Drosophila melanogaster: one gene and its partners. The protein of the gene in region 3 interacts with the protein of the main gene of each other region in a pairwise test. Each region holds a gene or a part of one and is shown on either strand. Other genes may lie near its edges. The genes, in order: tbrd-1, tbrd-3 and sa.

What was found.
Region 1: the proteins of sa (region 3) and tbrd-1 interact in a two-hybrid assay, tested with the Drosophila melanogaster proteins (one study listed by BioGRID).
Region 2: the proteins of sa (region 3) and tbrd-3 interact in a two-hybrid assay, tested with the Drosophila melanogaster proteins (one study listed by BioGRID).

Annotation. Positions count from the first base shown.
Region 1 is NT_033777.3:23,891,097-23,895,333, reverse strand, and holds tbrd-1 (testis-specifically expressed bromodomain containing protein-1), read left to right. Parts: upstream 1-1,773; 5' UTR 1,774-1,983; intron 1,984-2,044; 5' UTR 2,045-2,081; coding exon 2,082-3,623; 3' UTR 3,624-3,737; downstream 3,738-4,237. Other genes in the region: sba (six-banded), read left to right, coding at 1-326.
Region 2 is NT_033778.4:23,326,086-23,329,485, forward strand, and holds tbrd-3 (testis-specifically expressed bromodomain containing protein-3), read right to left. Parts: upstream 1,497-3,400; 5' UTR 1,472-1,496; coding exon 665-1,471; 3' UTR 654-664; downstream 1-653. Other genes in the region: CG9861 (uncharacterized protein), read left to right, coding at 1-318, 377-628.
Region 3 is NT_037436.4:21,404,865-21,408,445, reverse strand, and holds sa (spermatocyte arrest), read left to right. Parts: upstream 1-1,707; 5' UTR 1,708-1,749; coding exon 1,750-1,864; intron 1,865-1,927; coding exon 1,928-2,506; intron 2,507-2,801; coding exon 2,802-2,935; 3' UTR 2,936-3,021; downstream 3,022-3,581.

The DNA of each region.
Region 1 (4,237 bases), on a different chromosome or scaffold from region 3:
AGTATCAGCAGCAGCAGCAGCAGCAACAGCAGCAGCAATCGCCCTCTTCAACGAACAACAAAATAAATGGACTCGCGCGGAGCAAGCGCCAGGCCAACACAAGTGGGGCCAGCATGGTGCTGACCACCAGTACGGCGGCCACATTGAGTGGCCTCTTCAATCAGCAGCGAGCCAAGCCCATACGCATTGCTCCGGCTCCACCGGTGGCCACAACGGGCACAGGCAACATTGGGACGATAGCAGCAGCTGGAGCTGCAGCAGCTTCAACTGGAACCGGGACAGCGACAACATCGGCCCGTTCCGAGATCCTGAAGCTGGCCAAATGACCAGCGCTGTCGACGTTATCGTCGACAGTGAGCACAGCCAGCTACACCCTCGTTATCGGGCATAAGTAGTGGGCAGCAGGAGGATACATACCGCCAGGCCATATATATAGAGTTATCCATACATATGTGACGATACGAGTATAGAGTTTAGTGTTAGGTGTCAGGCCTCAGCTTTGGAGTTTGTTGTTTTGTATTCTTTGACAGACTCCCCGCTTAGTTGCGTCGCTGGGCGGCGCGCGCCACACTTTCGAAATAGACAATAAAACAGCAAGATGATGTTAATGAAAATCAAGTTACAAAGAGCAGTTCTAACAATTAGCGATAGGTTTTTGGCTTCATAGACAGCGCCTCGGCGCAAATTTGCGTTGTTTTGTATATAGTAAGCACCAAAAGCTACCAAGATGTTTCGTATTAAGTATTTATTTATTGCATATAGATCCTTGGTTTTTATAGGTTTTGTTTTCGTTGCAATTTATAGACCTACCGATTATTTGTATAAATAGGTAACCTAAGCTGATACTTAGCCACTAAGTTTAAAGAACATCCACAACAATTACATTTGCCTTGTCAAGCAAATGATATCAAATCAAAAACAGCTACTGATTTTCATTTATTGTGATTGCACAAATTGTTTTTTAAACTCTAGAAGAACAAATTATTTATGTCAAACACAAAAAGGTAAAAATCATGAGAAAATTAGGAAGGGTGGAAAAAAATTATATTTATAAATTGTTATTATTTATTTAGTTGAAACTATTGTAAAATTATAATTGTAAAACAAAAATGAAATCACACTTAGCGGAAACACACGGAGCAAATAAAAATTTAAAAAACAAGATAACTCTTTGATTCATGGCCCGCTTGACCCAATCTCTAAAGAAATACACCCTTGTATACAAACTGGGAATGTTCGGAGTTCCACACGCGATTCCCACTGAAGTTATTCCCATGACTTGATACTAGCATCCGATCCCGATGTGACGAACCAGCAGAGGACCTCCCGAGTCACCATTGCATGTGTCCTTATGGTCCGGAGATCCAACACACAACTGGGACTCCGCCTTATAGCCTTCCGGCACATCCTCGTTTGCATCCAACCGTAACTTGTAAGTTGGTAAGTTGTACCAAAGACACTAGAATAATAGAATAGAATTATTCTAGTGTCTTTGGTTGTACTTACACATCTGAGTAGAAGCAGTGAGTAGCCGTTAAAACCACCTGATAACTTATCAAGGTGCCACCACAAAACCACTTCGTTTGATTCCCACTAGAGCTGTGATGATCCAGCCGAGCAACCATGGGAAACTTTTTTTTGGCATATCTGCGGTGGCAACAACTACCAAGGTCCCTGAAGTTGCACCTTAGAAAGGAGTATTATCACTCATACTAGACGATTGCTAGCTATCGAATGTAAGCTCACTGTGAATGTCACAAATTTTGACAGACCCAACGTAGCACAAAAAAGTCAGTGACAAAATCCGTCTGGTCATTTTTTATTTTCTACTACTCCCAACGGAGACTTACATACAATAAATGTAAATCACATCACCATAGACTCTAGTGTCAAGAGGTAATTATTAGTGTTTGACGAAAAGAAGTTCAGTAAAGTTCTGTATTCCGAGCCGAAAGGAGCTGTGAATTTTGAGTTGTTCAAAAAGTAAGCATTTGAAATAGTTCACATTCTTCCTAAATACCAAAAAAAAAAAAAACTGCTTTAGGCTAATATTAGGAGTTGGGTGACCTTACAAACCAGCAATGAATGAACTGCAGTCGAATAGCAACCAGCCTCCGCCGCGCAATGAGCCGTATCTGCAGCCGGTGAATGGCATCGTGCAACCGCCGGTGATTCCGCCACCGAATCGTCCTGGGCGAAGGACAAACATCCTAGAAGAGCTCAAGTCCGTGCTGAATTGCTTATGGCGCAATCGCTTCTCGTATCACTTTCGCCATCCCGTCGATTCTGTGAGCCTGGGTGTGCCCGACTACCATGCGGTGGTCAAGCATCCGATGGACTTGAGTACAATTAGGAAGCGACTGCACAACAAATACTACTGGCAGGCGAGCGAGGCTCTGGAGGATTTCAAGCTGATATTCGATAACTGCTTGTTGTACAATTTGGAGGGCTCACCGGTTTATCAGGCAGGGAAGCTTCTAATGGAGGCCTTTTACATGCGAATGGAGTCCATTGATTTGAGCACGGAGGTGGAACTAAAGCCGAAGTCGGAAAAGCGCAAGAGAAAGGCTACTGAATCATTGGATCAAGCCTCGACTTCGTTCTCAGCACCTCGAGCATCTAACAATTATTCTAGACAGTGGCTCTCGAGTAGTTCCTCATGGCTCTGTCCCCCACCGATGCCTGGCGGGGTGTCGTCATTTAATCCTTCATTCCGAAATTTCGTGGGTCCCAGCTTGATCCCATCTTTTATGCCCGATTCCTTGGTGAATCCCATGCAATCTATGCATCCAATGTCATCAATGATGAATCCGATATTCAAGAATAATTGGGAGACAAATGAAGCAATGGATCCACCGCCCTCAGAGCCAATTTCCTATCGTCCCTTGGATTCCTTGGCAGCACCCTTACCGTCCCCTCCAATGGAACCCATGACTTTGCCTTGGCCAACCCCAGCACCAGTTGAATCTCCAGCTTCATCGCCTCCTCCGGCTCCCAATCCACCCATTATCATCTGCTACAAGTCTCTCGACCGAATGATTGAAAAAAGCCACTCAGATCATCTTCTGAAGTCGATGGTAAAGCGAAAGCGCAAGCAGGTTACATGGGCATTTAATCAGGCTGACTACTGGCGAAGGTACTCCCAGAATCCGGACTACGACCACGATCGCGAAGAGAAACTCGATTGGAAGATACTACAGGAGCGCTTGGACTCCGATAACTTTGAGAGCTTTGATGGATTCGTGAGCTCTGTACGAAAGATGTTCCAGAACGCATTGCGTTGCTTTCCGGAAGATGGATTGGTCAAGGTTTCGGTGAAGAAAACCAATGAGATCTTTGAGAAAAGGCTGCCCAAGTACAGGGAGTTAATTGCCACGGCCAAGGAAAAGGGGCGTCAACTGGTGGCCAGCAGGGAACAAGATTTTCGTGACTCACAAAACCTGCTCATTAAACAAGAAAACGCTAATAAGAATTTCAAAGGATGGGTTCCAAAGCCATTTATTATTAAAACGGAGTCCCTGTTTGTGCAAGAACAGCGAGTGTACAAAATGGAGCCCCAGGATGTACAAGAATTTTCACCTGGTACGGAGCCGCTGGATGACCAAACTTATGATAGCGATTAAAGTGTGTAGAATTCTACCACGGAAATGAAAAAAAATGAAAATGCAAATTATTATAATTATTATTCATAAAGAATTGTTATTAGCCTAAAATATGATTCTAATTACGAGCTACCGACATTCTCATAGTTTAATTATACCTGTATTACTAGATGCGTTGAAAAGTATGGAACAGGCAGAAGGAAGCGATTGCGATCATATACATTTGTCTATACATTTTTGATCAGGATCAATAGCCGAGTCGATCTGGCCATGTCCGTCTGTATTGATCTCATTTTGCCACGCCCACACTTTTGAAAAATGCTTAGATTTTTCTTCGTGCAAAAAAAAACACTAGCCACGCGCCTCCTTTTGCTACAATACGCCCAAAACGGTCACGACTATTTTATTCCCCAGTATCTATCGATATCCCAGAAAAATGATGAAATGTTCCCTTTGGCATTCCCACTAGCTGAGTAACGGGTATCTGATAGTCGGGGAACTCGACTATACCATTTTCTATTGTTTTTAAATTCAAAATAAAACAGTCAAGCACCAAGGTGCCACCTCTCGGTTGACATTGCAACTACGCAGAGCTAAGGTGACCAGTCGTCTTGCAATCTGGCAGCCCTATAACA
Region 2 (3,400 bases), on a different chromosome or scaffold from region 3:
TCATTCGATCCGAACGATGCCGCCCAGATGGACAAGTTGCTAAAGGATGGCATGCGAGTACTCAGGAAGGAGCCCCGCTATGTGCTGGCCTGTCTGCCAGACGCCCACAAGCTGCCAGTGCTGCGGGAGTGGGTCAAGAGGAGGTACGGCAAAACCTACAGCCAGAAGGAGCTCGAGGAGAGTATAGCCGAGTCGAGCAGGATATTCGAGCTGGTCACCATCCTCCAGAGCAGTCCCGCCAGTCCCGATCTTATGGGCATTGATCGCCTGCCCAGATCCAAGGAGAACTTTAACTTCTATAAGCAGATTAAGAATACGGTATATATATATATATATATGTACATATATTTTACTATACTAAAACTATATTTTTCAGGCTGCCCTGGCTAAGCAAACATATCACGATCAGTTGAATGCCCGCTACCTAAGCATCGTGAGCTCCGCCTGGTACGCCATGGGCAACTATCTGGTGCCCGGAGGACCTCCTCGGAAGACCTTTTTCGCTTACATAGCTTCCAATCCGCTGGAGATCATGCGTAACAAGACGTGGAATGGGGATTTCCGGAACTACCGCTCCATGCGCGACAAGAGAAAGGAGCAGGAGAAGCTTTTGGGCAAAAAGGACTAGATTACAATAAATTAAAACTCTTTTTCAATCTGAAACTCAATTATATTTGGGCTTGGTGCGGGCCACTCTTTTGCCGGTGAACCCCTTGCTGGCCAAATAATCACGGATGCCGCGTTTGGTGTGCACCTTCAGTTTGCAGATGTCGAACTCCAGCTCCTTGTTGCAGTACTCGGCGCCCTCCATGCGTTGAATGAAATGGATGACGTGGAGCAGCACCTCGCCGTCCAGCTGCTGAATCTTGGCGTGCAGATCAAGGTCCTCCTCGGTTGTAAAGGGCTCCTGCTGCTCCGAAGTTTCCAAAGTTGCCGGCGGAGTCCAATCGGGGGTCGGAGTACATTCGGTGGTTGGAGTACATGAGGGGGGCGCACCCATTATGGAGGGGGACACCTCCGAGCCGTTCACCTCGTCCTCCGGCGATGATGAGTCCGATTCATCCGAGGAGCTCTCTTCCTCGGCACGCACTTTACTGCCGCTGGAGCAGATGTAGAGCTGCACCTGGGAGTACATCTCCTCAAAGATGATCTGCAGCTGTTTGGCCATGTGGTAGCACAGGTGATCGGGATTCGTGTACAGATAGGTGTTGTAGAAAATCAGCCTTATGTCTTTGGCGAAATCCGCGGCACTGAGATAGCAACCCGTATTCAAACGATGCCTCACGGTGGACAGATCCATGGGTTCCCGGACAATCTCATGGTAATCGTGGAGGCCCAGCAGTTGCGGATCCAGTGGCTCGTAGAAAACCCAAGCAATATTCTTATAGGTACTGGAAAACAACCTTTTAATAATCACCTTGCAGGCATTAATTTCCGGCGAGGACCGTTCAGTTTCTTGTTTTGCAGCCATTTCAGAAAAATATCTTCGATATCGACTATCGGAAAATTCTATTATAATTTCTATCGTTTTGACAACTTGAACGCAATACAACTGACAATATTCACACTCCGGGTTGCCCTGTACGATGATATTTTTAGCTTATGAAAACTTTTAGGATTGCCACCTCAATCCGAGCAGAAAAGTCAATCCACAAATGCGGTTTGGGGCAACAAACAAATTCAGTTAATTATGCAAGTGGCTCCGGCCAGGAAAGTATTTCCATACATTTTGTGTGGGAGTGCGGTCCTTTGTGGGAATGCTCTGCCTCAATCCTGAAGCTATGATGGTTAATCTAATTCCGAGACCCGTACAAACAGTCCTTTTTTCGGTAAACGTATTTAAAATCCCCATCGAGCTGTGGGGGCGAAAATATTTATGGTCAACCGCTGACGTTTGCTATTTTAGAGTGCCGAAATATTTCGTTAGCATAAAAGTTTTGTTAGGACACACAATATACATCATTTTTGGGCAAATATTTGCAGGGCTTTCATTTGGGCAGTCAACAAGTTGGGTTTACAAAAGTTAAATCGAAATCCTGTTTAAAGTCACTCTGTTAAGTTGGCTTCCACAGGCATGAGGGGAAATCCTGTTCCTGTGGCTCTCTCCCTCTGTTAGCTTGCGATCCACAACTGAGAGCAACCGATTTACGGAGACCTTCATTTTCTCGCTGTTAACTTACCTGCCACAAAATGTTGCAAATTGGGTGGCAATCGGACCAGGTCTTGGCCACATCTTGGGGCGCCTCTTCAGTCTGCTGTTGGGCCTTTGGGGGAATGGTCCTGCGAATGGGTCAATTGGGATTGCACTCCACTGACCCACTTGCGAATGGGGATTCACCTCTGGGCATCATCTGGTTCGGATGTTGACCTTCAACCCCAAGTTTGGAGACTTTACACATAGAGTTTGCGAAACCGAAAGAAAAAGAGATTAATCTTCAAAGTATATTTAAAATATATATAATCAAAAATACCAAATAACAATATAGATAAAGTTATACCCTATATCTGTCATATATCCACTTTTTCGCAAGATCATTCGCTTTGGAGGCATCTAGACCTAGAATAAATTGATATGAGTGATATTTTTATGCATATGTGTAGCTGAGAGCCCTTAGCACACGATTCCCTTTGATCTTGTCGATATGTCAGCGGGGCAGAACTTTACTTCGCATTTCACGGCAAACATTCCGCTCTCTATTGCCGATTTCCAGATAAAAATCTTGTTCGTTTTTCACATAAGTAAAACTGCGACACTCAATCAGTTGGCAGATGAAATTATACACCCAGAGACTGGGCCAGGTGCTAAAAGGATCGCCAGGGGGACGCAAAGGAAACGTGTGAGGCTGTCAGTGGCAAGCACATCCCTTTCCCCCAAACCCACTTGCCTCGCACCTGCGAACGAATCCCTACCTGGCCATCCCGCATCCCATTGGAACCGGGCAATATATGGATAAATATAAAAAAAAGGGCGGCAATATGAAAGCCCTGCAGAAATGGAAAGAAGGGAAGAACCAGCAGACGAGGACGCCGAGGAGATATGAGAAATGTACATTTGGACAGGCTACACACGCTGCCCTCGCACGGCACAGCGATGGAGAGGGGGCTATTCGAGCGAAAGAGACGGCGACAGCCAGTCAGATGTCAAACATTCTTTTGACACTTTGTCATAGCATCTCCCGGTGACACTTGTCAGCAGTCGGATTTCGCATTTCGGTGGAATGGCTGTGCCGCAGTTGATTTATACTGCCATGCATATGATATATATGTGTGTAAATATATACCTATAGGTATGTACGCGATTGTATCTTAATAGCATTTACTTATGCACCGCCCGAATTCAATTTAGCTAATGCAGCAATAAGAGTCCATTCATTTACCGTTTTCTGAGTATTGGCTACAA
Region 3 (3,581 bases):
AGTTGCGGTAAATCAAAAAAAAAAAAAAAAAATAGTGCATAAAAAGCCGATTGCTTTTAATCTTTGCAACAGAGAAAAAAATTGTATTTTAATCATAAAGCGCTTCTTGAAATCATAGCTATCATACACTATCAAAGGACGTTTATCGTAGAGTAAAAGCGTATTCTAGACTATATACCACTAAATATCCGTTTCAAAATATGTATTTAATATGTTGTAGACCTGATCAGAATTACTAGGCCGGACAATCAAACCATGTCGGATTGTCCGTCCGCATAAACATGGAGATCTTAGGAACTATACAAGATTGAAAGTTAAGAAAGTAAAGCACGCAGATTCTACTAACATTGACGCACAGGAAGCTTGAACAAGATTTCCACGCCTAGTTTACCGCCCACTAACCGCACAAAACTGTCACGCCCGCAATTTTGAAACATGTTTTTATTTTTAATTTTATTATATGTCGAAAATATTTTTGCCACGCCCACTCCTAGGTCAAAAAACCACTTGAAACTGTCACCAGGCGAAATATTCATATTTATTTCTATTTATTTTTTCATTTTCTTTTTTATTTTTCAGTTCCATTAGCTAAGCAACGAGTATCTAAAGTTTTTGTAACGCAATTTGAAAACTATATATATATTTGAATACTTAACGTTAACGACTTGGAACTTTATTATCTTTTATTGTATTATTTATAAACAACAAGTTGTCAGTTTTCAATTGAGCAGAGATTTTTTTTCTCTGTGGTCCGTAAACGGTAGCGCTTGGAGGCAAAAACATTAGATCCCAGATAAATACGGGCGAGTTCATTGTACAAATGTCAGCCACGGAACGCCCACAATGCACGACCGCCAACATAATCCCCATCATCTACATCATCATGATGGGATCGTAAAAATATAAAGTGGAGAAAAGTGGTGGGGATATGATGGGGGAGGGACTCTGGAAGGAGGTACAATTTGTTCAATTGCAGCAGCCTCTTGGGCGTCGCAAACGCGAATCTGTCTGCATCTAAAGTAGTTTTTCCACTCTGACACAGTGACCTCGTGCTTGGATTTTTCCATTTCCCCCCAGTTTTCCGTTCTCCATTCTCTTTTCGCACCATTTGTTGTTGTTGTTGTTGTTGTTGTTGTTGTTGTTCGGCTTATGACTGATTATAGCTCACGTTTTGGCTAGTCTATGACGGAGTCTGGAGAATTTGTCATCAGACAAACAATGGCTCCCACTTTGGTTTTCTTGGAACCCATTCATTCATTCATACGGCTGTAAATATTTGCATAACTCATTAGGAGAGATGCTTAAGATACGAGTCTCTATACGCCGAGTCGTTTGCAGTAGGTCGCGATCGCAAAAGGCGAAAATATTATAATTTATTTATATATTATTATAAATATATTAGTTTTAGGGGAGTGGTGCGGACAGTTCCCAATCGGTATTTAGCTGCTGGTCTTTAGTGCTCAGCCTTTTGGAAAGATTGTGTAAACAGTTTAGGCTGTTATGCTATAAACTGTTATACGGAAACATATATGCAAATTTTTGGAAATTTGAAAATTAGAAAAGAACATGGATTCCTTGAAATATAATTAAAATATTACATAAACACTTCAGATGTTTAATAAAAATGACTTTGGCAATCCTAAAGCAAATAAATCAAATGTCAATTAGTTATCGTCGATAAACTTAAGGCCCGGCCAGTCCGTGACACTTCGTTTTAACAGTCAGTCGAATCGAGTGATTTGCCCAAAAATGAATACCTACGACGAAGTCTTGGCAACAGTGCTGGACAATTTGCTGGCATCCAAGAACTGTGAGGTGGTCGACGACGTACTGCGTCAGTCGATGCTGGAACTTTTGCGTGGCAGTAAGTAGCTAGAAGAAAATTCGTACCATGTCAATGGTATTGTTAATCAATGTGTTCCTCGAGAATTCCGTGAGATTGCACGTCAGACTACCAATTGGTCCAATCACGCTGGTCGCTGTGCACCCAGCTACTTCGATCTGGAGCGCACCTTCATCCGGATGAACATCAAGGTGGGCGAGCTAAAGGCCATGTACGAGGGTCAACCGGATTCGTTGGTCTTGGTTGAGTGCAATGCACCGGAGACACAAGACCAGGACTTCCACAGTGTGCCGCAACCCGTGCTGAGCTCCACAAAGGCCGTGGAATTGGCCTCCACCACGTATATTCCGGACCATTTGCCACCATTTCCAGGGGCGCACACCTATAAGAGTTCGACCATTGAGAAGGTTACGGATCGCAGCTATGTGGCCATGAGGAATCGCCATGCCGAGAATGAGCTGAACACCCAAAACGCCTTAAATCAATACTACCTGAGGTGCAACCCCAATATATCGCTGTTCGAAGAAACCCAACGCGATGGAAGTGGCCACGTTTTGGATCTAGGTCCACCCAAGAAACTTCCTTATTCGGACGCCCTGATGCCAAGAAATCAGGTCTTTGATACGGACATCTATGCTCCCATCGAGGTGATAACCCACAAAGGTATTTAATTACTATACATACCCAGTAATATTGGTGCATAAAACGCTTTTACACAGCCATTATATGACATTTTACGTAAGACAGGGCAGAGACAGGCCCTAGAGTTTAAGTCTGGAAAACTGATTTTCCTTAAATCCCGCGGACTAAAACGGACGTATTTTGTGAAATAACTTAGAGACTGCACTGAGTAACCAAAGTGGAACATTTAATACTTTTGATCGCTTTTGCCTGACCAAGCTTATTTCATTGCGCAGCCATCACTTTCACATGGTCCTAACAACTTTGATCCCGACAGCCCTCGACTGCCGTTACTTGGAGAAGCCCAAGTTGCACAGTTCACGCCCATCCTCAGGAAATTTCGAAGAGGAAGACGTGGAAATGGAGGAGCCCTGCAGTCCAGGGGGACTAGGTATTGAAAAACCGAATTAAACTGCAGCTCAGTAAGAGGTGAAAAGCACACGAAATGTTTCCATTGCCAGACCAAGCTACTCCACGGAATAAAGTGTGAAAAAATTAATTTATTTCAATTACATTTCATTAAACACTGCCACACGTTGCGATGATGCTGCGAGAGTTCGAAGGAGCAAGAGGTCCTGCGCCTGCTGTAGCAGCAGATGCTCCTCCTGCTGCTTCTGGCGAACGCCTGCGATTCCAAAGTATTAAATAACTTTGTAATTTAATTAACTTTGACGTCGGCATCGCATCGTCTGCTCTGCGACGCTTAACTTTGATTAACGTTTGCAATTTTTCAACAACTTTCGACCGAACTTTCTCGCCATCGAGCGGGCGACACTGCGTCCAAAGCGTCCGTAGCCAAAGGATTGTGACTGTGATTTCTTCGCCTGGCTGGGATTACAAGGGATTTGCCTCCTCCTCTTATCTTCCGCTAAAGGGCACTACCCTTAGTTGCTTGAAATTTTATCTGACGATTGGAAGGGTTAAGATTCAGGGGGGAATATTGAATGCAATTAGAGATGCTGGGTGATGTTTGGATGGGGTGGAACCTCCCTGGATGACAAGCTAATAATCCCGGGGAACGAGCACAATCACTTGGAAAACTAATTACAGGGGAAGA